Linked DNA regions of Oryctolagus cuniculus. The protein of the gene in region 3 binds, or shares a complex with, the protein of the main gene of each other region. Links are inferred from orthologs where the notes say so. Each region holds a gene or a part of one and is shown on either strand. Other genes may lie near its edges.

Evidence for each region. Proteins that work in one complex are often made in the same cells at the same time.
Region 1: DRC1 (region 3) and DRC7 share a complex: the UniProt entries of both Homo sapiens proteins name them as parts of the nexin-dynein regulatory complex. The link is inferred for Oryctolagus cuniculus from reciprocal best matches to the Homo sapiens genes DRC1 and DRC7.
Region 2: DRC1 (region 3) and DRC12 share a complex: the UniProt entries of both Homo sapiens proteins name them as parts of the nexin-dynein regulatory complex. The link is inferred for Oryctolagus cuniculus from reciprocal best matches to the Homo sapiens genes DRC1 and DRC12.
Region 4: DRC1 (region 3) and IQCG share a complex: the UniProt entries of both Homo sapiens proteins name them as parts of the nexin-dynein regulatory complex. The link is inferred for Oryctolagus cuniculus from reciprocal best matches to the Homo sapiens genes DRC1 and DRC9.

The regions. Positions count from the first base shown.
Region 1 is NC_091449.1:41,176,133-41,181,883, reverse strand, and holds the start of DRC7 (dynein regulatory complex subunit 7), read right to left. Parts: upstream 3,490-5,751; 5' UTR 3,374-3,489; intron 86-3,373; 5' UTR 79-85; coding exon 1-78. UniProt on the Homo sapiens protein: Component of the nexin-dynein regulatory complex (N-DRC) a key regulator of ciliary/flagellar motility which maintains the alignment and integrity of the distal axoneme and regulates microtubule sliding in motile axonemes.
Region 2 is NC_091432.1:111,111,702-111,117,505, reverse strand, and holds the start of DRC12 (dynein regulatory complex protein 12), read right to left. Parts: upstream 3,490-5,804; 5' UTR 3,428-3,489; intron 3,343-3,427; 5' UTR 3,270-3,342; intron 1,990-3,269; 5' UTR 1,978-1,989; coding exon 1,908-1,977; intron 1,577-1,907; coding exon 1,511-1,576; intron 478-1,510; coding exon 358-477; intron 1-357. UniProt on the Homo sapiens protein: Component of the nexin-dynein regulatory complex (N-DRC), a key regulator of ciliary/flagellar motility which maintains the alignment and integrity of the distal axoneme and regulates microtubule sliding in motile axonemes.
Region 3 is NC_091433.1:176,385,105-176,390,119, reverse strand, and holds part of DRC1 (dynein regulatory complex protein 1), read left to right. Parts: intron 1-661; coding exon 662-751; intron 752-1,172; coding exon 1,173-1,259; intron 1,260-4,006; coding exon 4,007-4,275; intron 4,276-5,015. UniProt on the Homo sapiens protein: Component of the nexin-dynein regulatory complex (N-DRC) a key regulator of ciliary/flagellar motility which maintains the alignment and integrity of the distal axoneme and regulates microtubule sliding in motile axonemes.
Region 4 is NC_091435.1:82,115,508-82,121,599, reverse strand, and holds the start of IQCG (dynein regulatory complex protein 9), read right to left. Parts: upstream 3,490-6,092; 5' UTR 3,128-3,489; exon of another isoform or gene 3,010-3,127; intron 2,763-3,009; exon of another isoform or gene 2,497-2,762; intron 1,263-2,496; exon of another isoform or gene 1,040-1,262; intron 1-1,039. Other genes in the region: RPL35A (large ribosomal subunit protein eL33), read left to right, coding at 4,329-4,339, 4,553-4,705. UniProt on the Homo sapiens protein: Component of the nexin-dynein regulatory complex (N-DRC), a key regulator of ciliary/flagellar motility which maintains the alignment and integrity of the distal axoneme and regulates microtubule sliding in motile axonemes.

The DNA of each region.
Region 1 (5,751 bases), on a different chromosome or scaffold from region 3:
CGCCCGTTCTGCCCGCTCGGCCGCCTCCTCCCGCTCGGCCGCCTCCTCCTCCTCCACCTTCTCCTTCAGGACCTCCATTCTGGCACTGGGGGAGGGGTGACCCTCAGATCAATCACCGACAGCCGCCAAGCCCCACTGTGCATCCCTGGGACCCCCGGAAATGGTTTCAAGTGGCCTCCAGCACACATACCGGAAGTGATTCCCTCTTTTTTTTTTTTTTTTTTTTTTGACAGGCAGAGTGGACAGTGAGAGAGAGACAGAGAGAAAGGTCTTCCTTTGCTGTTGGTTCACCCTCCAATGGCCGCCGCGGCCGGCGCACCGCGCTGATCCGATGGCAGGAGCCAGTACTTATCCTGGTCTCCCATGCGGTGCAGGGCCCAAGCACTTGGGCCATCCTCCACTGCACTCCCTGGCCACAGCAGAGAGCTGGCCTGGAAGAGGGGCAACTGGGACAGAATCCGGTGTCCCGACCGGGACTAGAACCCGGTGTGCTGGCGCTGCGGCTCACTAGGCTAATCCTCCGCCTTGCGGTGCCGGCACACCGGGTTCTAGTCCTCCGCCGCAAGGCGGAGGATTAGCCTAGTGAGCCACGGCGCCGGCCAGTGATTCCCTCTTAAACTTCCTTTCGGTCAAGGACAAAGTCCTGTGTGGCGCTAGCACCTCTGTAAGCCCACCACCCGCGCTGCGCCTCAGTCTCCGTCTGTGGCCAAGGACACCGTGGCATAGCCAAGCGCCCCCTTCCTGTAAAGGCAGCACCCGAGAGGCACCTGCTGCAGGTGCCTGCTCTCCCCCAGCACAGCCACGTGTTCTACTTGCACAACTCCCTTTAGACAGGCAGGGGCAGTAGCGAGCCAGCATCCTCCTTGGGCCCAGGTTCAAGTCCTGGCTGCTCCATTTTCCTTCCAGTTCCCTGCTAAGGCACCTGGGAAAGCAGTGAAGATGGCCCAAGTGCTTGGGTCGCTGCCAGCCACGTGCAGACCCGGATGAAGCTCCTGATTTCTTGGGGGAGTGAACCAGAGGATGGAAGACCTGTGTCTCTCCTTCTCTCTAACTCTGCCTTTCAAATAAATAAATAAATCTTAAAAAAGAGAAAAACGGGTGCACATCAACTCCTTCCGGGTCTCCCACATGGGTGCAGGGGCCCAAAGACTTAGACCATCCTCTGCTGCTTTCCCAGGTGCAACAGCAGGGAGCTGGATCAGAAGTGGAGCAGCCGGGACTTGAACTGGCACCCATACGGGATGCTGGCGCTGCAGGCGGCGGCTTTAACCCACTGCACCACTACACTGGCCCCTCGCATCTCTTTTGATGGTTATCTTTTCTTTACAGTAATGATGCTAATACTGTATGGATTGCTACCCTTTCATAGGGTCTCCTATTTAGAGGTCTTGATTCAATCCAAAAAGTGACTTGGTTTACAAAAAGCATTCACAACAGTCAAGCGACACAGAATGTGACCAAAAAACCCATGAAGGTTCCAGGTGAGTGACGTCTCATCTCAGCAAACTGCGGCCTGAGGCACAGAGACCAGAGAGACCAAGGCACGTGGATGAGGGGCAGGTGATGGGGTCAGCTCCTGGCCACGCCCTGTGTGGCCAGCAGACAGAGGACAGGCCTGGTTCTGTGACCCATGCTGGCCACAGAGCAGGGCCTGGCTGAGTGGACCCTGTTGTCCTCCCCAGAGATCCAGGCCCTGCCCCACAGCAGAGCCCCACATTGGGGAGGGCAGAACTGTGCCCTCAAATGTTCAGCTTCCAGAGCCTCCTGCAGCTACAGGTGGCGTGCTGGCCTGAGAGGGGACCGAGTTCTGGCCAGTGAGACGTGAGCACAAATTCCCGGGCGGCTGATTAGAGGGCCGAGCCCAGGAGGCCCAGCTGTAACTTTTGTCCTTTCTCCTCCTGCTGCCTGGAAGGGGACCTCCAGCTGGGGTGGGGTGGCCACGGCGTGACTGTGAGGTGACCACACGTGCCTACTAAGGATGGCAGGTGGAGACACGGGGACGGAGGTCCCAGGGGATGCCACAGAGGCCCAAGTGCCAGCTCTAGACTCGTGTGGGTGCAGAGCTCAGCCTCCCCTTGCGTCCCTGCTCCTGGCTGCCCAGCGCCACCCCAGCAGACCCACCGGTCCCCGGTTCCGGCCTTTCCATCACCCCATCTCAAATGTCTACTTCCTCCACAGCCAACAGAGCAAGAGCCCAGCGAGGAGGAAACCCGACCCAACTCCCAGGCTGTGGTGTGGAGCAGGGAGGGAAGGGCAGGTGTCTCCGTTTCTCATCACCCTGCAGAATCGAGCCAGCCCCGAGCATGCAAAGGGGACCAGGAGGTAAATGCTGGCCCGCCCTCCCCGGGGAGACAAATCGCTGGCCAGCAGCCAGGGTTGGGAGAAATCCTGGCTCTGCTCCCTGCTCCTGCTGTGCCCTTGCGCCATGCCCTGCCCCTTCCTGGGCCTCAGTTTCCCCTCCTGCCAGAGGAAGGGAAGACCAGGTGCTTTTGCCCCGTTCTGAAATTCTGTGTTCTAGGACTTGGGATGTGCTGAACGCTCCTGGTGCTGGAAGCCAGTCGGTCAAGGTCACAGCAGAGGCCCCAAGTCCAGGAAGCCCATCCACGAGGCCCGTCTGGGACCCCGGTTCCTGGGGGACAAACCTCCAGCCAAACAGCATGGCTGGGCATCAGATCCATTTCAGCACAAAGAGCATGAGCCCCGGAGGCACTCACAGTTTAGTTAACAGCTACTATGTGCAGACCCCGTGCTAGGGCTGCACAGGGCTATTCTCACGGATCCTCCAACAACTCTGCAGTGCAGACCCTCTTACAATGCCCACTTTGCAGACGACAAGATTGAGGTCTAGAGACCTTCAGGGCAGCACATACAGTAGTAGCTAGTAAGTGGCAGATTTGGGATTCAAACCCATCTCTTCCTGGCTGTGTAAGCCGTGCGTTTCAGAGCCTAATGAGTTAGGAACGTCCAGGAAAGGACGGTGGGAGGCAGGGACGTGGTGAGGAAGGAAAGGAGCAGGTCCAGGTGTCAGAGGGCGCCAGGGGTTACCGTGGAGCCGGCACTGGGTGGCCCTGAACCCAAGGGCAAGGGACCCCTGGAAGAGGGGGGAGGTGGGCAGCTGGGGCCAGAGCTGCAACACCTTATTCTCCCCACAGCTGCTAGGGAGGGCCATCCTGCCTCAAAGCTCCCTGGACCCTGCCCCATCCACAGTCTCTTCCCTGCAACCCCCTCCTCCCCTCTACACACACTCACGAAAACCTCCCCCCAAGATCAGGGCTAAAGACCCCCCAGGAAGAGGCATCCCCCTCATCCCACGACCGTCCCCCTCCCTCTGCCAAGCCAGTCCAGCAGCCCCAGACCCCTGCTCCCTCCTCACCCCTCCGAGGACAGCCTGTGCTAGCTGTTAGCTGTCTCCATGGTAACAGCGTTCCCAAGCTCTGGGCTGGTCCCCGGAGAGGAGGCTCCTGGGAAATGTAGTCTTTGAGTTGTCCCGACTCCCTGGGCCAAAGTGTCCAGGTGATTAAACTTCCAGTTGTCAAACACAGCCTACAAGCAGATGATTATATTACAACAAAAGCAATAGGAGCTGGAAACTCACCCCTTCCGGATTTCCAGGCCCCTGTGGTGACACCCGCCTTGGGGAGAGGGATCCCTTCGCCTTAGTCAAATCAGTCGGGGGCTTACTGAGTGCAGGGGAGCTGCCGAGGGCCACACGCAGGGCCGTTCCTCCCAGCCGCTGTGGTTACTCACCCACAGCACCGCCTCGGCCCCTGCCTCCCAGCCACTGTGGCTTCCCTCCAGGGACACGGAGACCGGGGTGGCTGCTGGGGACAGGCTGGACCTCTGACTTAGCAGATGGCGCTCAGGACAAGGAAAACCCATCCATTACAGTAGGGGCCCAGAGCAGTGTTTATTTATTTATTTTAATTATTTTTTAAAGATCTATTTTATTCATTTATTTGAAAGGCAGAGTTACGGGGGGGGGGGGGGTTGAGTAGAGAGACCTTCTATCTGCTGGTTCACTCTCCAAATGGCTGCAACAGCCAGGGCTAGGCCAGGCCAAAGCCAGGAGCCAGGAGCTCCATCCGGGTCTCTCACAAAGGTACAGGAACCCAAGCGCCTGAATTATCTTCCACCGCTTTCCCAGGCTATTAGCAGAGAGCTGGATCGGAGATGGAAGTGGGGCAGCCAGGACTCAAATCAGCTGACGCTGACATCACAGGCCACAGGCCACAGGTGCAGCTTAACCCACTGCACCACAGCACCGGCCTGCCCCTGGCTTTAGATGCTGCGGCTAACCTCCCCCACTCCACGGCGTCTGCTGATGTCGGCTGAGGTGTCCTTGTCACACGGAACGCCTCGGCTGTGGGGTGGTGACGGGGATTAGCTGGTGGTCTGCTGTTTCCTGTTTGAGAAGCCCTTCCTCATCTTCCCCGTGTTAACCCTACAGCTCTCATGCTCACACCAGAGCTCCTCTCTGTGCCAAGGGGTACAGGCGACCGTGTTCATTCAGTCTCGCGATAACAAGCTGGTGTTCCTCCGGTGGCATCGGCGGCCACCCTCCCCGCGTGGCCTGCCATCCTTGCTGAGTGTCAGCTCACCAGGTGTCCACGGAGCTGACGCTGAGCCCTCTCTTCTGTTCCACTCGAGTCCTTTCCTATCCCTGCAGACTCCACGTTGGGCTTCTCACTCCGACTCTGTGATATCCTCTAGAGCCCGAGGTCAAGTCTAACTTCAACACCCACTCAGCGATTTCAGGCCAGTGGCCTCCACGAGGAGGGGCCAAAAATAAATAACTAAATAAAATGAGTTGAGATCTTTACTGGTATTGCATTGAATTAATGTGTGTCAAGAATTTCACGTCTTCCAATATTAAGGTGTCTACCCGAGGTAGGGCAAATGTGCCTTTTACTTCCGTGTATCGGTTGTGCTGTGATGACGATACCAGGGATGAAGAGAGCCAAGGCCCCTCCCTGCCGCACAGCCGGCTGGCCCCGGGCAGGTGACGGCCAGGTCACGCTCCAGCCTGGTCACATCCCTGTTGGGCTGGGGGCCAGGCCCTGCCCAGCCCTCATGGCCAGTCTCTCATGAGTCCTTTCTGTCCTCAGCTTGGGGGTGGGGGCGGCTACTGCCTGCTCTCCTTCCCAGGCTGAGAGGGGGAGGGGTGGGCCCTGGGCAGGGGCAGGATCTGGCCCCAAGGCCTGTGCTCAGCTGATGTCCCCCCACCCTCCGGGGCTGGTGGAGCCGCTCAGCGACAGTTCTGGGCCTGGGGTATGTTTCTGCCGTAGCACCTGTTGGCCTTAGGAAGTGTGCGCCACTTGGTACTGGGGGTCACTCTTTTAGGGACCCCAGCCCTGCAGCCCCCGCCTGGCCCTGGAGAGGGGAGCCAGCCGGCAGAGGAGCGCGTGCCCAGGTGGGCCACACCTACGTTCTCCACCAGCAAACCCGGCCGTCAGGGGCTGTGGTCCCATGTGCCCCTGAGCATGTGTGAGAAGGCTCCAGGCCAGGCTGTCTCTGGAGAGGTGGGGGGTGAGAGAGTTCCTGTGCCCAGGGAAGCTGTGGGGGAGGGACTGGCAGTCCCGGGAGGCTTCAGCCCTGCCTGTGGAGGGGCCGCAGGTGGACAGGCTGCTGGGCCTCTCCCAGCCTCGCTTTCCTTGTCCCAGCTCAGAGCTGGACTTTCTCTAAGCCGAGAGGGGCTTAGGGAGCCAGCTGCCTCCTGCTGGGCCAGTGCTGGGCACGTTGTCATTGCCACAT
Region 2 (5,804 bases), on a different chromosome or scaffold from region 3:
TGTGATCCTGGGATGCTGGGAGACCCTGGACACCTGGGGAAAGGGAAGGACACCAGGCCGCCTCCCCACTCCGGCTTAGGATCAGGGCCCCAGCCCATCTGCCCGCTCACTGCTGCTGAGTGAATGAAACAGTGGCTGGGACTGCGTCCTGTGTCCCCCAGTGCAGCTGGCACTGACACTGGCCCCAGGCACCCTGGAAGGTCCCTGCCTGCGAGCCCAGAGGCCTCCTTGCATCCACCAGGAGTTGCCTGCTTTGTGCTACGCAGGGAAGGCTGAGACCGGGCCCGGCAGTCAGAAGCCCCTCTTATCTTCTCCCAGGCCCTTGTGTCCTGCCCAGCTGCTGAACCGACCACGCACCTGCATATACGGCCTTCCCCTCGCTGCGGGCCTCTTCCAGTTCAGCCTCCAACTCTTGCAACCTCTGCTTCAGCCTTTCTTCAGAAGCCTTGGCTCGACGGGCCCCTTCCCCCTGTAGAGCTGCGAGCGGTCCCGGAGCCCTGCTCAGAGCCTGCTGAGGGCCGCTGAATCAGCCCCAGAGGGCTGGATGGCCTTTCCTGTCTCTAGAAATCCGGTGGTAGCTGGAACAGGTGCTGTGGTATAGTGAGTAAAGCCACTGCCTGCAGTGCTGGCATCCCATATGGGCACCAGTCAGGTCCTGGCTGCTCCACTTCTGATCCAGCTCTCTGCTATGTCCTGGGAAAGCAGTGGAAGATGGCCCAATGCCTTGGGCCCCTGCACCTGCCTGGGAGGCCTGGAAGGAGCTCCTGGCTCCTGGCTTCGGATCAGTGCAGCTCCAGCCATTGTAGCCAACTGGGGGAGTGAACCAGTGGATGGAAGACCTCTCTCTCTCTCTCTCTCTCTCTCTCTCTCTCTCCTTCTCTCTCTATGTAACTCTGACTTTCAAATAAATAAATAAATCTTAAAAATAAAAGACACCTGGGGGCAGGGCACCCCACCTCTTATTCTTTCTCTTTCTCTTTCTGTTTTTTTTTTTCTTTTTAAGTATTTATTTTATTTATTTGAAAGGCACTGTGGCAGAGAGAGAGAGACAGAGACAGAGAGAGAAAGATTGTCCATCCACTGATTCACTCCCCAAATGGCTGCTATGGCTGGGGCTGGGCCCCAGTACTTGCACCATTACCGGCTGCTTTCCCAGAAACATTAGCAGGAGTTGGACTGGCAGTGGAGCAGCCAGTGGGATGCTGGTGTCGCAGGTGGTGACTGAACCCATGTCACCACAATGCCCGCCCCTTTCTGTCTCTCCAGGTTGTTGGGTCATTTTATTTTCCTAGGATCTCATGAGCTTTTCATTGCTAAGGAGTAAAACCTCCCTCCATGTTCTGGCTGTAAATAATAGCGTCCCTCATCAGCCTTCCCTGTCCTGTTCCACTAGGGGATGGTTAGGGTTTGGCGTAGCTTCCACCGTGGCTCCAAACGTCCAGTCCCGCCAGGACACAGCAGCGCCCCCACTGCTCTGCTTCTGTGGTCCCAGATAGCTCACCCTTCTTACCCAGCCGGTCTCGGAGCAGCTCCGTCTCCAGCACCAGCTGTCTGTGCTTGGACTCGGCCTCCACATCTGTCCTGGCAAATGACAGAGCCTTAGCTTACATGACCCCCGCCCCCGGCCCTGGACTCCGTCCTGAGCCAGCTCTGAGGGCTCCCTGCGGGCAGAGTCCATTCAGCATGCACCGTGTGCTCCCTGCCCAGCACAGATGAGGCATTCAACATATGGGTGACCAGTGGGGAGGCACAGAGCTGGGCGGTCTCGAGGGAGGGCGTGGGTGACCATTCCCCCATTCCTCAGCTCCGTGGAATCTGGACAGCGAGGACTGTGCTGCGGGCCTCTGCTTGGTCTCTGTTTCAGAACCCAGAGAAACGGGCACCCACCCCCACCCACGACGACTCACCCGGCCCTGGGTTCTTTTTCTTCTTCTGCACGCCGGCTTTCCTGCCTTTCTGTTTGGTCTTGGGTGGCATTTCCTTGCTGTCCTGATGGAGGGAGGGGACCTTGCTTTCAAATCTGGACAAGGGGATCCTGAACCAGGAGTCTTGGGAGGGTCAGAAGTCTGCTTTCCAAGTCTGCCCCTTTCTCTTGTTTTAAAGACACAAGTCTTTCTTTTTTAAAGATTTATTTATTTCAAAAAAATATTTATTTAGTTGAAAGCCAGAGTTGGGGCAGGGGGTGGAAGGAGAGATCTTCCATCTGCTGATTTAGTCCCTAAATGGCCCCAGTGGCCAGGGTTGGGCCAGGCAGAAGTAAGGAGTCTGGACCCCTGATCTCCCACGTGGGTGCCGGGGCCCCAGGACTTGCCCATTCTCTGCCGCCTTCCAGGCACATTAACAGGGAACTGGATCAGAAGTGGAGCAGCCAGGACTTGAACTGGCACTCGAATGGTACTTTAGAAAGTTCGTGGGATACAGACTGGGCATTCGGTCTAGTGGTCAAGACGTCCACAGTCCATATCAGAGTGCCTGCTGCACTCCTGGCTGCAGCGCCTGACTTCTGCTTCCTGCTGCAGAGACTCGGGGAGGTAGCAGGGTGATTCAAGCAGGTGGATTCTTGCCACCCCCTTGGGAGAACTGGACTGAGTTCCCAGCTCCCAGCTTTGGCCAGGTCCAGTCCCAGCCATTAGGGGAATTGGGGGAGTGAACCAGCAGATGGGGCCTCTGTCTGTCTTTCTGTCGGTCTCTCTCTGACTCTCAACATAGTTACAATTAAGGGAGAAATGAGAACAACAACAACAACAAAAGAACAAAAAAGTTAATAGAAAATACAGTTAAATCCATTCACAGTTTCTTTCTTTTTTTTTCTTTTTTCTTTTCTTTTTTTTTTTTTCTTTTTTTGACAGGCAGAGTGGGCAGTGAGAGAGAGAGACAGAGAGAAAGGTCTTCCTTTGCCGTTGGTTCACCCCCCAATGGTTGTTGCAGCCTGCGCGCTGATCCGAAGCCAGGAGCCAGGTACTTATCCTGGTCTCCCATGGGGTGCAGGGCCCAAGCACTTGGGCCATCCTCCACTGCACTCCCTGGCCACAGCAGAGAGCTGGCCTGGAAGAGGGGCAACCGGGACAGAATCCGGCGCCCCGACCAGGACTAGAACCCGGTGTGCCGGCGCCGCAGGCGGAGGATTAGCCTAGTGAGCCGCGGCACCGGCCCACAGTTTTTTTTCACAATACACATGTTCTATGAGCTTTTTGAACATCCCTCAAATATACTTGGAAGAATTTTTTGCACCAAAATAAGCTTGTCTTTTAATTACATTTCCCACAAACCTTTACTTTCCAGAAGCTTCAGTTGCCGGTCTCCTTGGAGCCTCAGGCGGGGCTGGGGTCAGTGGGGAAGACACTGCATACAGAAAGCTGTTACTCTCAGCTCTCTTGGCGAAGATACATTCCCATAGCTGTCCCCTCCCTCTTGCCTTCATCCTTACCTCACCTCCACCACTTGTCAGACCCTCTCTTGCCTGTGTTGGGTCTCCCTGTAGAGTGAGCCACTCGTGGGGAGAGACAGAGAGAAGGCCCAATAAGCTAGGAGCCTGAGGAGGAGCCTGCGTCCTGGGAGCCAATCCAAGGCAGCACATTTTCCTCAGGGGGCTGGACTGAGAACTGGAAGGTTGGGTTTCTGGAGGTTGCATGTTGCCCAGGCAACTGAGCAACATGGAGTTCATGAGAAGGTGCAATAGGCCAGATCAACTCACAATGCCTAAAAGACCAAGGTCTGGGAAAGGTAGTTCTCCTTTCATCCACAAATCCTAAGCATAGTTTGAAAAGAAAGGGCTTTGGAGCAAACTAGCTGTGATTCACTTCCACGTAGGTGCTGTCATTTGGAGACTCAGAAATGACAGATTTGCACGGCTGAGACAACACTGTTGTGCGGATGTGGAGGAAAAGCGTGATGGCAGCCGTCTTGGACGATCCACATCCTGAGATCCTATTGCAAGATGACCTTGTGCTGAAACCGGAAGCGTCCCTTCGGCAAGGCATTCTGCAGGGTGCAGGAGCAGGTGCTGGGGCAGACTTCCAGAAAAATGAGACACAGAGGAGTGAGGACCCGTAGACTCTGGGGTATTGGCTTGGCGGGATGGACACTGGTTAGGGACCAAAACTGCAGCACAGGCCCCCTCTCTGGAGGTGGAAGCTATTTAACTTGGTTTAGCCTGCTTCCTGCCTTTTACATCACGGAGTTGGTAAATTCTGAAGGTCCTGGGTCTTGACTGGGTATTTACATGACTGTCTTATTGCACCCACTGAATCTATTGCCTTTAGGTGGTTGATTTTCAGAAACTACCTTGAGGGGCTCCCTGTACCATAGAGTTGGTTGGGGCTCCCTCTAGTGGACTCGCTTGTATTCCCAAGTCTGCTAAATTTTTTTTTTATATAGATTTATTTCATTTATTTGAAAGGCAGAACGACAGATACAGAGAGAGACAGAGATCGTCCATCTGGTTTTCTCCCTAAATGCCAACCACAGCCATGTCTGAGCCAGGCCGAAGCCAGGAGCCCAAGACTCCATCCAGGTCTCCCACATGGGTGACAGGGGCCCAAATGCTTGGGCCATCAGCTGCTGCTTCCCAGGCGCAGTAGCAGGAATCTGGATTAGAAGTGGAGCAGCTGGGACTCAAACCAGCACTCTGATATGGGATGCCCGCCATGCAGGCAGTGGCTTAACCTTCTACGCCACAGTATCTGCACAAGGTTTTTTATTTTGGATTATCTCTGGGCAGTGTGGGACTGAGTCCCTTTTTGAGGTACTTCCTAGCATCTCGCTAGAGTCACAGTGGTTGGGAAAAATGAGTCTGAGGAATAGGGACTGTCAGGGGGCCAGTGTTGTGGTGTAGTCGGTAAAGCCGCTGCCTGCCTGCAGTGCCGGCATCCCATATGGACGCTGGTTCAAGTCCTGGCTGCTCCGCTTCCAATCCAGCTCTCTGCTATGGCCTGGGAAAGTAGAAGATGGCCCAAGTCCTTGGGCTCCTGCACCCATGTGGGAGACCCGGAATAAGCTCCTGGAACCTGGCTTCGGATTGGTGCAGCTCTGGCCATTGAGACCATCTGGGGAGTGAACCATCACTCTCTCTCTGTCTCTACCTCTCTCTGTAACTCTGTCTTTCAAATAAATAAAAATAAATCTTTAAAAAAGTATATAATCCTTTGAAATCATTATTGTGTTTTTTAATAGTTTTATTCTTTCTTCTAGTTTATTTATTTATTTAAGATTTATTTATTTCAAAGGCAGAGTTACAGAGAGACAGAGGCAGATGAAGAGAGAGAGAGAGCCATCTTCCATCCACTGGTTCATTCCCCAGATGGCTGCAATGGCCAGAGCTGTGCCCATCTGAAGCCAGGAGCCAGGAGCTTCTTCTGGGTCTCCCACACATGTGCAGGGACCCAAGGACTTTCCCAGGCCACAGCAGCACTCTATCTTTCAAATAAATAAATAAATAAATCTAAAAACTCTTTTTTTGACAGGTAGAGTTATAGACAGAGAGAGAGAGAGAGAGAAAGGTCTTCCCTCTGTTGGTTCACCCCTCAAATGGCCACCATGGCCGGCGCATCACTGATCCAAAGCCAGGAGCCAGGTGCTTCTCCTGGTCTCCCATGCGGGTGCAGGAGCCCAAGCACTTGGGCCATCCTCCACTGCCCTCCCGGGCCACAGCAGAGAGCTGGATTGAAAGAGGAGCAACCGGGACTAGAACCTGCACCCATATGGGATGCTGGCGCCACAGGCAGAGGATTAGCCAAGTGAGCCATGGCACCGGCCCAAAACTTTTTTAAAGTTTTATTTTTATTTATTTGAAAGGCACTGGGTGG
Region 3 (5,015 bases):
TTGTGAGATAGAGGGGGTGCCGGCCGGCAAGCCCCATCCCCCGCCAAGTGGTGAGGCCCCCTGCCTTGTGGCCCTTCTTTGGGGGCGCAGCTTCAGGCTGCTGGACGTCTGTTAGGCTTGGGCATCTGCACCGGGTGTCAGCGACGACACTTAGGGCTGGTTCAGCCGCGCTGAGTGCTTACTTAGAGTGTGTGGTTCTGAGGTGCAGGGAAGTGGGGGAGCAAGGATGGGCGGCCTCTGTCCCCTGGGGACAGCTGGGGTAGTTTTCTGTGGCACCGGGGCTGAGGGAGTCAGCTGGCAGGGCCTCCCCTCTCTGCAGGCTGCGGGGAGCCCGCCCCAGGCGCTCAGGGCCCCCATGCCCGCCTCGCTCCATGCCTGCCCCTCGCCCAGCTCGGCATTCTGCAGCACTTGGGGGGTCAGTGCTGTGACCGGGTCGGGTCTGGACCGCTGTGGGGGGGGCCTGGGTGTGCGCCCAGTGGCTGGTGGCTGAGGGGAATGGGTGCAGGGCACTCATGTCTGAGGCAGGGCAGGCCCTGGCCGTGCCCCTGCAGAGGCTCGGGCATGCGCACAAGGCCTTGCTCGCCTCCTGGGTTTTGCTCCTGTGCGCAGCCGCAGGCTGAAGCCCCCCTCTGACTGGAGCCACCTTCTTGCGCCTCCTCAGGGTTTCCTCATAGAGAGCAAGCTGATGAGCCTCCTCCTGCCCCTGGAGACGAGCGAGTGCTACCTGCTGCGGTTGGACGCCATCTTCTCGGTGAGTGCCGCGGGCCGGGCCGGGGACAGCCCCGTCTGCCCGACCTGGAACTCGTCTCCACCCTGGGAGTAGGCAGGGTCTCCCAGAGTGCCACTGGGCTCCGGGCTGCCCTGCCCTGCCCCTGCACGCAGCCATCAGCCATCGGCTTGTCCCCGGGCTGCACCCTGCCCGCGTCTCTGGTGCGCCCTGGCTTCGCAGTTGTGTGTGCAGCCGCCTGTCATCAACTTCTCCCACCCCCACCCCCCCACATCAGCCAGCAGCGCTGCTGTCAGCACAAAGGCGCCCGTTTCCTGGAGGTGCCCCACGCCCCGTGAATGCCCCGTGCCGTGGGCCAGGGCAGCCTCCAGGACACTGGGCGGAGCACCCTGGGCCCAAGGCCGCTGTCGCGGGCGCTGGGGCAGCCGTGCTGTTTCCTCTGCAGGCCCTGGGGATCGAAAGCGAGGAGGACCTGTACAAGCTGGTGCACTTCTTCCTGAAATACCGGGCTCACCATCTGTCCTCCAGCCAGGTGAGGAGACCTTGGGCCGAGGGGAGAGCGGCCCCAGGGAGCGGCCCTTCTGCAGAGATGGTGGGGAGTTTGGGGGTTTGTGCGGGGGGCCACCCCCAGCCTCCCTTGTTCTCATTTCCTGTTTGCTGGGGCTGAGAGGCGGCTGCTCCTTCCCTGGGCCCGGCCTCAAGGCGGGGGAAGGCACTGCGAGGTCAGCCCACGGCCGCCCACACCTCCGCCGTAACCAGGTCAGCCCATCCGGAGAAGTCGTCATACTGACAGTGTAAGCTACAGAAGTGTGGTGTGAAATAAAAACATTGAATTTGCACAATGTTTCAGCCTGGCTAGCCACGCGGTGAGTATCCTGATGTGTCTCAGGAAGAGCTGACCGGTGGACAAAGCCGAGAAGCGTGAAGGAGAAGAGAAGACGATGCACTGACAGTTTTCATAGGTGTTCTGCAGGGCAGCAGTCACTGTGTGCAACCTTAGGAGGACAATGATGGCCTGGTGAATAGTATTTGCAACTCATATTACAGGGAGGGCCAGTTTCCTTGGTATATAAAGAGCTCCCAGAAACCAGTATGAAAATGACCAGGAATTCAGTAGAGCGGATGATAGATAAGAATGAATGCCCCAGGAGGCGGTAGAGACGACCTTTAAACTCCTACAAAGCCGTCGGATTTCCCTGTAGTAAAAGCAGCGTGCGCCAAAGCTTCCCAGATTCCACTTTCCACCTGCTGGGCTGTCACCACCATGGAAGTTCACTAACACATGGCTGATACGGGCTGTGGATCCGTGGATCTTAATCTGGCTCCAGGTTCTTGCTGCCCACAGAGAGGAGACTTCAGAGTTGGGGGTGGGGTCTTGTCTTCCCGTGAGAAAGATTTCAGGCATAGACAGCTGTGGTAGGCAAGGCTTACGGGGTAGGGCATCCATCAGAACCGGGTGGTACAGAATCCGAGAGGTGGCCAGTCGCTCAGACTGGGGAAGGCAAGGTGACGTGGTTGAATAGAGCGAATGCCCCTGGCAGGCCAGAGGGAGCCGAGTGCTGGGCGCAGTCCGTCTTCAGGCGGGGCCTTATAGGGGAAAGGGGCCGAGTTCCCCCCGCCGTTCCTCCTCCCGCTCCTCCTCCTCCTCCAGGGGAAAGGGTTTGCTGAGTGTGAATTGGGACGGGTTCCTCCCCCAGGGTGCCCGTCTTGGAGGAAGGCTGTAGAGGTCACCAGGCCAGGTGCCCCGTCGAGCAGGGGGGCACCCTCCTGGGAGCTTCCCTTCAGGGAAGGGCTGAGACCACTTGGAAAGTTCCCAGGGTCTGGGCAGGGCAGTGCAGTGTAAACACGGGGCTGCTTCCGAAGGGGACGTCTGCAGTTGCTGGCTCCCTGCCCCTCTCACCTGTGGGTGCATTTCTAGCTTCCTGCTAGCAAAGTGGAGGCCTCACGCAGTGCAGAAGTGAGAGTGGACATGCTAAAGGCAGAGTGGACATCAGTTCAGGTGTGAGTGTGGCCCCCCAACACGGAGCGGTGCCTCAGCGAGGAAGCCCGGTCAGGGCAGTGGAGCCCCTGCCCCACCGCCAGTCTCCTTTATGAGGCAGGAGTGTGGTGCTGTCTGGGATTTGACTTCCACGTGGTCGTCATGGCGTCCTCTCCTGCCCGGTCCCAGCTGAGACAGGTGCAGGTGGGTGTGACAGGGAAGGTGGGCGTGTCGAAGCTGATGGGTGAGAGGGATAAAGTCGCAGTGCAGGGTTAGCACAAACTCCAGCGCCCTGTCCAGCTGCCCGCCTCGTTCCCCAGATCATGGTGATGGCAGAGTCCGAGTGTCACTTGTGCCCTCCAGGGCGCAGCCCTTGGCCACGTCGGCTGCTCCTCTCTGGGCTCCGGGTTCACGCTGGCTCCCGGCGCAGTGGGGCCGAGGTGCAGATGAGCTGCTCGCTCTTCAGGCATCGTCTGAAATGGCAGAGGGTGAGGTTCACACCGCGCTGTGGGGCTGGAGGAAGTTCTTTGTGCACACAGTCGGGGACGAGCGGTGGCATGGAAGGGGAGCCAGGGCTGGGGGCCGTTGCTTTCTTTGGGAGGGGTCGGGAGAAACTCGGTCTCTTGGATCTGCTTAACCCCAGGAGGTAAACTGAGTAGATTTCGGGACAGAAATAGGAAGGAGACTAAATTTAAAATTGAAGACATTTATTTTGTATTATGATTCAAAAGGATATGTATAATGTGTAAGCTTTAAGAATATCATTGAGGGGCCAGCGCTGTGGCGTAGCGGGTAAAGCCGCCACCTGCAATGCTGGCATCCCGTATGGGCACCGGTGTGAGTCCTGGCTGCCCCCTTCCAACCCAGTTCTCTGCTAATGGCCTGGGAATGCAGAAGAACTGGCCCAAGTCCTTGATCCCCTGCACCCATGTGGGAGACCCAGAAAAAGCTCCTGGCTCCTGGCCTCAGCCTGGCCCGGCTCTGGCCATTGTGGCCATTTGGGGAGTGAACCAGTGGATGAAAGACCTCTCTCTCTCTCTGCCTCTCTGTAGCTCTTCCTTTCAAGTAAATAAATCCTAAAAAAAGAGTATCAGTGAGATGCACCCCTGTGTGACCAGATGTGGAAGAACCCCGGTGCTGTCTGGAAGCCCTCGTGTGCCTCTCCCAGCACCCCCCCCCCCCCGCCCATGTTGGCCTCTGTTCCACCCCGGCCAGGTTTCTGGACGTCTCACGCCATGCTTGCCCTTCCTGCAGTGGGGCGTGGGCGTCCCTGACTGTGGTCCCCTTGCACCTTTCCCCAGATCGCCCCCTCGGACCAAGTGAACGCAGAGCGGCTGAGCACGGTGTCGTTCATGGAGCAGACGAGCGTGGTATCTGTGCCCGAGCACTTGAGCTTGACGTCAGCCTCCGAGGAGGAGCTGGCCGAGCAGACGGCGCCCGAGGGAGAGGCGGAGAGCCCGGTGGAAGGGGAGCAGGCAGAGAGGGAGAGCCCGCTTTCCCCCAAGCTCATTCACCCCAACGACGTCCTCAAGGTGCTGGAGGCCTTTGTCATGGGCCTGCGGAAGCCCAGGTGAACCGCGGCTCGGGCACGGAGCCTGGCAGAGGGCAGTGAGGGCCGCGGGGGCAGGAAGTGGGCCTCCAGAGGAGGGCCGGAGGGGTCGCTGGGCTGAGAAGGAAAGGGGTATGGCAGTGCTGGGCACTTTATTCACTCATCATGCATTCATTTGGCAAGCAGTTGCTAGGCCTGCCAGGTGAGGGCGCCATGGAGAGAACAATGCCGGAGCACGGTAGCAGGTGCACTGTGTGGTTCATGAGGAAGTGGCCTATCAGAGAGGGTTCTGGGAGGAGCTGGCACAGGAGCTGGGTGCTCCCAGGTGCATCAGGTGGGGACAGGGCTTTTCAGGACGCAAGGGCCCAAGGGAAGGCCTGGTGCGCCTGGGACTCAGGACAGGGAGGGATGACCACAGTGCCATGGGCTGTGAGGCTGGGGCTGGTGGCGAGGAGCCGGCCAGCTCTCACTGCGCCTGTGGGCCTGGGGCCAGGAAAGAGCTGGGAGCCGCGGGGGAGCCCAGGTCAGGGCTGCATTTTAGAAAGATCCTATTGGCAGCTGTGTGTGTGTGTGTGTGTGAGAGAGAGAGAGAGAGAGAGAGAATACAGGGAGAGCACTCAGGAGGTGGCAGTGTCCTGGGTTGAGGCCATCAGAGGGGGTGACCAAGTGAGAGCCGTTTCAGATGCCTTTGTGAAAGAAGTGGGTGTGGACATGCAGTCACTGGGGGCGGGGCGTAAACTGGGGTGGGGGTGGTGATGCTT
Region 4 (6,092 bases), on a different chromosome or scaffold from region 3:
CCTTTCAAACTCGGGACCTTTGCAAATGCTTTTCCTGCAACTTGGAACCACTTCCTGTCACCTCTTCATCTTGTAAAGCTCTGTTGAGCTATCAGGTACCAATCCAGGTTGTGGCATTTTTCTAGGTATATGCCTTTTGTCCTCTCCACCCAATCTCCTACATTTCTGTGCTCTCAAGAGACTGATCCATTTGGAGTGCATCAACAGAGAGTCCAGAAAAAGATCCAACTGTAGGCAAGGAAGGTCAAGGATGAATATCGATTCCCCCTCTCTCCCTGCCAGTATCATTTAGGGGCTGTATTCCTTTCTCAAAGGCCATTGTTCCTATCAGACAATCCTCTCCTAACCACTCCCTCTCAGGGCCTAGGTAACTACATGCCGAGAGAAGTCTCTGGAGACTACATTCTTTACAGTGTTAGCTCCTGCCTACCCCTTTGTAAACAGATCCCTTAAGAGACTCTCAGTTCTGCCAGTGGTTTCTTTCCAGGGCAACACTGACCGACACAATGACTTGGTACACTTACACATTTATGTACGTACTCTCACACAAACAACTACAACAAGAGTTTCATTGAAAGCATTTACCCTGTGTGATAGTCTGATAATTCTGAGTTATCATATTTTATTTAAAAAATACTATGGGGCCAGCATTGTAACTTAGCAGGTTAAGCTGCCACTTGTGACTCCAGCATCCTGCATTCAAAAGGCAGGACTTGAGTCCCAGCTGCTCTGCTTCCGATAAAGCTTCTTGCTCGTGTGCCTGGGCAACCAGCAGATGATGGCCCAGATACTTGGGTAACTACTACCCACACAGGAGATTCAGATGGAGTTCCTAGTTCGTGGCTTCAGCCTGGCCCAGCCCTGACTATTGTGTTCATTTGGGGAGTGAACAAGCAGATAGAAGAACTCTCTGTTTCTCCTTCTCTGTCACTCTGCCTTTTGAATAAGTAAATACATAAATAACAAAATCTCACTAATTTTTTAAAAAGTACCCCGGGCAGTAGATTTTGCCTAGTGGTTAAGATTCCAGTTAAGATACCTGTGTCCCATATCTGAGCATCTGGGCTCAATACTGGGCTCTGGCACCTGACTCCAGCTTTATTATATAGATCCGGGGAAGCAGCAGTGCTGATCCTATTAAATGAATTCCTGCCACCCACGTGGGAGACATGGAGTGAGTTCCTGGCTCACAGTTTCAGGTGGACCAGCCCAAGTCACTGCAGGCATCTGGGGGAGTGAATCAACAGATGGGAGTTCTGTCTCTGAAATAAATAAATGAACAAAAATTACGTCTTTGCTGGCATTGTGGCACAGAGGACCAAGCCACTGGCTTGTGACACCAGCATCCCAACTACAAGTGCCAGTTTGAGTCCCAGCTACTCTGCTTCCAATCTAGCTTCCTGCTAATGCACCTGGGAAATGGTCCCAGTACTTGGGCTCCACATGGGAGACCTGATGGGATTGCTGGCTCCTGGCTTTACCCTGGCCAGACCTAGGGAAGTGAACCAGCATTAGGAATACCTGTGTGTCTCTGTGTGTGTGTGTGTGTGTGTGTGTGTCTGCCTTTCACATAAATAAATACACCTTTTTAAAAAGTAGTATTATGATCACAATCTATTAATGCTCATCACCCATGGTTTGAAAAACACCTTAGATGACATTTCCTCCGAGTGATACCTGCTCTGACTCATCAGGCTGCACTAGGAGCCCTCTGTTCACGCACTCACAGCACTCTATTTTCAAGCACAGCTCGCCACACAATTTTTAATGCTTATGTAAATTTCCCCCACTAGGCCGTTAAGTTCCATCAGACCAGGAAACATGACAATGATGCTGACAGATTCTACATTTCAGCCCCTGTGCTCAATAAGGATTTGTGAAATGAATGAAACTTGCACTTCATGTATGCTTCTCCCCTGGGAAGACTTTCATTTAGAACCTTAAGGAATTAATCTCTTGGGGCCGGCACTGTGGCGCAGTGGGTTAATGCCCTGGTCTGAAGCACTGGCATCCCATATGGGCACTGGTTCAAGACCTGGCTGCTCCACTTTGATCCAGCTCTCTGCTACGGCCTGGGAAAGCAGTAGAAGATGGCCCAAGTGCTTGGGCCCCTGCACCCACATGGGAGACCCAGAAGAAGCTCTTGGCTCCTGGCCTCTGACTGGCGCAGCTCCAGCCGTTGCGGCCAATTGGGGAGTGAACCAGCGGATGGAAGACCTCTCTCTCTCTCTCTCTCCTCTCTCTGTGTAACTCTTTCAAATAAATAAATAAATCTTTTTTTTTTAAAGAAATTAATCTCTTAAGAGCGGGATTTCTAGTACATTTCTGTGGCAGAGAAAAAGGGATGGGGCAGGTGGCTACAAGGGACATAAGCCCTATCCTGCTGTACCTAAGAGAGGATCTGACTTAAATGTGACTTACTAATCAGCCAATCTTGCCAGTGTTACATTTAAAATGCCTTAGGAACTCCAGGACTCAACAGCCCTGTCTACACACCATCATCTCTCATTAGGATCATTACAGCAGCCTCCCGGGCGCCCTTGTGTTCCTTGTCAACACAGTTGAATCCTGGTAAAAAAAAAAGTATCAGCTAGAGTCACTCTCCATCTTCAGAAACCTCAGATGGGAGGGCAAAAAGCCTTCCTATGGTGGCCTGTTGAATTTTTCTCCATGGAAGTATTACCCTCGAATGGCTCATATGCAGACGCATGGTCTCGCCCAGAGATTTCTGGTTGGTTGGTTTGCTGCAGTACCCTCCAAACCTACAATAAATGTTGGTAAGCGGTAGTCATTCAGTAAACTACTGGCTAAATAATCAAAGAATCCGCAGGGCAACTCAGATAAATGTGCAAAAGTTAGGCAGCTTAAATCTCTGCTGTCCACTAATCCATCCACTGTAGTTTCTACCCAGGATTTACCACGCGTGGGCGCGGCGCTGGCCACCCTGAGCTTCTAGCGGGAAGCTCAAACATTCTCCTATAAAGGCCCAGGCAGAGCAGGCCTCCTTACCCCCTCAGTCAAAACGAAGGCTGCAATTAGAAGTAAGGACTTAGCCATTTCTCAAGAGATAAAGGAGTAGAGGGGGAGAGAAGTAAAAACATAGGTGAAGAGAAGGGAGAGCTCCTGCCTTCGCGATCCCGGCCTTTTTCTTCCAGACTCGGGTAGGACGCGAGTCTCCGTTCGCCCTACTCCCGTGTCATAGATGGGAAAGGAACCCCGGCATTAGGCACCTGAGGCAGAGCAACGTCTTCGCCTTTCCACCTACGGAATCCGCGTACCCGAGAACCAAGCGGACCTGTTTCTATGGCGACACGAGTTTGGGGACCTTCCCCCCCTTCCTTTAGCTGGCTGTCTTCTTGCCCGCCGCTGTTCCCAAATGATACATACTGCAGCTTAGAAAGATAGAAAGACCTAGAAAAGGAATTTGTAAAAGTTCTCTTGAATGTAGTTCACTTCAGTCCCAAGATGATTTCTGCTGCTTGTTTTTCTGGCGATCGCGGAAGATGCCTAAATTTGGGGCGGGGCGGGGAGGTATTTATCCCACAAGGCCACGCGGCGGGGCCTCGTCTTCCTCTTTCCGCCATCTTGGAGCCTGTGGAGGTGAGTGGAGCGTTTGCTGCTGAACTTTGGAGGCAAATAACCGGGTTGGGTTCACCTATATACCTTGACGAGGGTCTGGTGCGGCTCTGAGGCCCTGCCAGCCAGTGATTGCTATGGTTTCCAGGAAGAGGGAGGACGGGATGGAAGAGATGGGGGGCTGATGGTGCAGGTCCCCTCGCGCCCGGAGACCTGGTGCCCCGGTAATGGGACTTGGTTCCTGGGCTCAAGCGATGTGAAATAGATGCACTCTGTCGGTCTGAAGTTGGCGCGTGAGCGGCTTAACGTTGGGCCTTTTCAATTTGCTTCTACTCCAAACATGTTTTTGCCTGTAATCTCCGCAGCTCTTCTGTCCTAAGCCGATTCATAGAAGTTTTTTCCCTGCGCTTAACTGCATTCTTTCCTGAGTTTTCGTTTCTTTTTTGGGGGTTTCCTCTTGAAGTTTATAGGAATTGGCTCTTTCCGTGTGTTGCCCTGGCTTATCTGTCTTTGGAGTTTGATTAGGTAACAGCCATTCTGAAGTTTGCAAGTCTTGACGGACTGCTTTTCGTATAGACCTTATAGCATAATTAAGGTTCCCCCCCATGCCAGGTGGAGTGCCGATCAAAAAGGACACAGCAGGCTTAAGAAACGGACGACAAGGTGGGAAATTGGCATGGCACGGCTTTAAACTGAGTCTTTTTTTTTTTTTTTTTAAGGCCTGCAGGGAGCAGGACTTCTAGAAGGCAGCTATGTCTGGAAGGTACGTGTTTCTAATGTTCTCGCTTTGTAGTTTCTGTGTTAGACATGGGCTTAAAAGAGCACGAAATGCTGGAAGAGAAAATCAGATGCTATAGATACTCATAGTGAAATCGGACATGACCGAAGTAGGCGGGAGTCATTGGGGTCAAATCATATTGGTGGTTTGTAGATGCTTTAACAGCTTTCATACACTGTTCTGTATCTTGTGTCTTAGACTGTGGTGCAAGGCCATTTTTGCTGGCTATAAGCGAGGTCTCCGGAACCAAAGGGAACACACGGCACTGCTTAAAATTGAAGGTGTTTATGCTCGGGATGAAACTGAATTCTACTTGGGCAAGAGGTGTGCTTATGTGTACAAAGCAAAGAAGTAAGTTTATAATGCTGTTGACATTTTTCATTTTTCTACCAAAAGAATAAATAAGATGTTGGTAAAGTGCTGTTGTGGCCCCTATTTTGGGTCTTTGAGGGAACTAAATGAGAGGTTACAGCAGAATGTTTTGTGGGTGGTGGTGGTTTAGCACTTGGAAAAATTGCAGCTGTTAATTGGTTTTTTAATAAGTAAGTTTTTTGTTTTTGTGTTTTAATTTTTATGTAAAGTATAGCGTTACAGACTGAGAGGGAAAGGCAGAAAGATCCCCCATCTGCTGGGTCACTCCACAAATGGCCACCCAGCTGGAGCTGGGCCCTTCTGAAGCCAGGAGCTTCTTCCAGGTTTCCCATGCTAGTGCAGGGTCCCAGGCAGTTGGGCCTCCATATGCTGTTTCCCCAGCCACAGCAGAGAGTTGGGTTGGAAGAGGAGCAGCCAGGACTTGAACTGGCACCTATATGGGATGCCGGCACCAGGGGTGGAGGCTTAGCCTACTAATTCACAGTGCCCAGCCACTAGCTATTAATTGTTTAAAGGAAGGAGCCAATTCATTGTGTTATGATTCTCAATTCATTTGGTTAAATACTTAAATAGTATTTTTTTATGTTCTTAAAGTTACTACGTGTAGAACATTAGATGTCAGTTCACACCAGACCATTAAAATCTCTGGGGAAATGTTTTCATCTTTATCACCCTTTCGTTGCTACAGGCAGGGTACTCCTTTAAAATTATCAGTCCACTGTTGTGTTGTCTAATGCCCCAGTGGTTATATTCAGTAAGAACCAAAGTCATTAAGGGGCCCACGTTGCGGCATATCAGGTACAGCTGCCACCTGTAATGCTGGCATCCCATATGGGTGTTGGTTCAAGTTCCGGCTGTTCCACTTTTGATCCAGCTCCCTGCTAATGGCCTGGGAAAGCAGTAGAAGGTGGCCCAAGTGCTTAGGCCCCTGCACCCATGTGGGAGAGGCTCTTGCCTCCTGGCTTCAACCTGGCCCAGTCCTGGCCATTCCCGCCATTTGAGGAGTGACCCAGCAGATGGAAGATCTCTACTCTGTCTTTCAAATATATGGTTTTTTTAAAAAATATTTATTTATTTATTTGAAAGTGAGAGTTAGAGAAAGAGGTCTTCTGCCCGATGGTTCACTCCCCAAAAGTCTGTAAAGGGCCTTTGAAGAGCCTGTGTACATGGAAGTCTCTGTTTCTGCTCTTGTGCCAACTAGGATTCATCCTTTGGTATCTTCAGTCCTCCCCAAAACAGGGACACTTCAGCTAGCATATGTAGCTCCCTCTTTTGGTCATGTTCACCATTGAAACTAAGGCTGTTCCCTTGCCTTCCAAGCTTTGTCATCTTAAGGAGAGTCCTTCTCTGGCTGCTTAAAATTGCA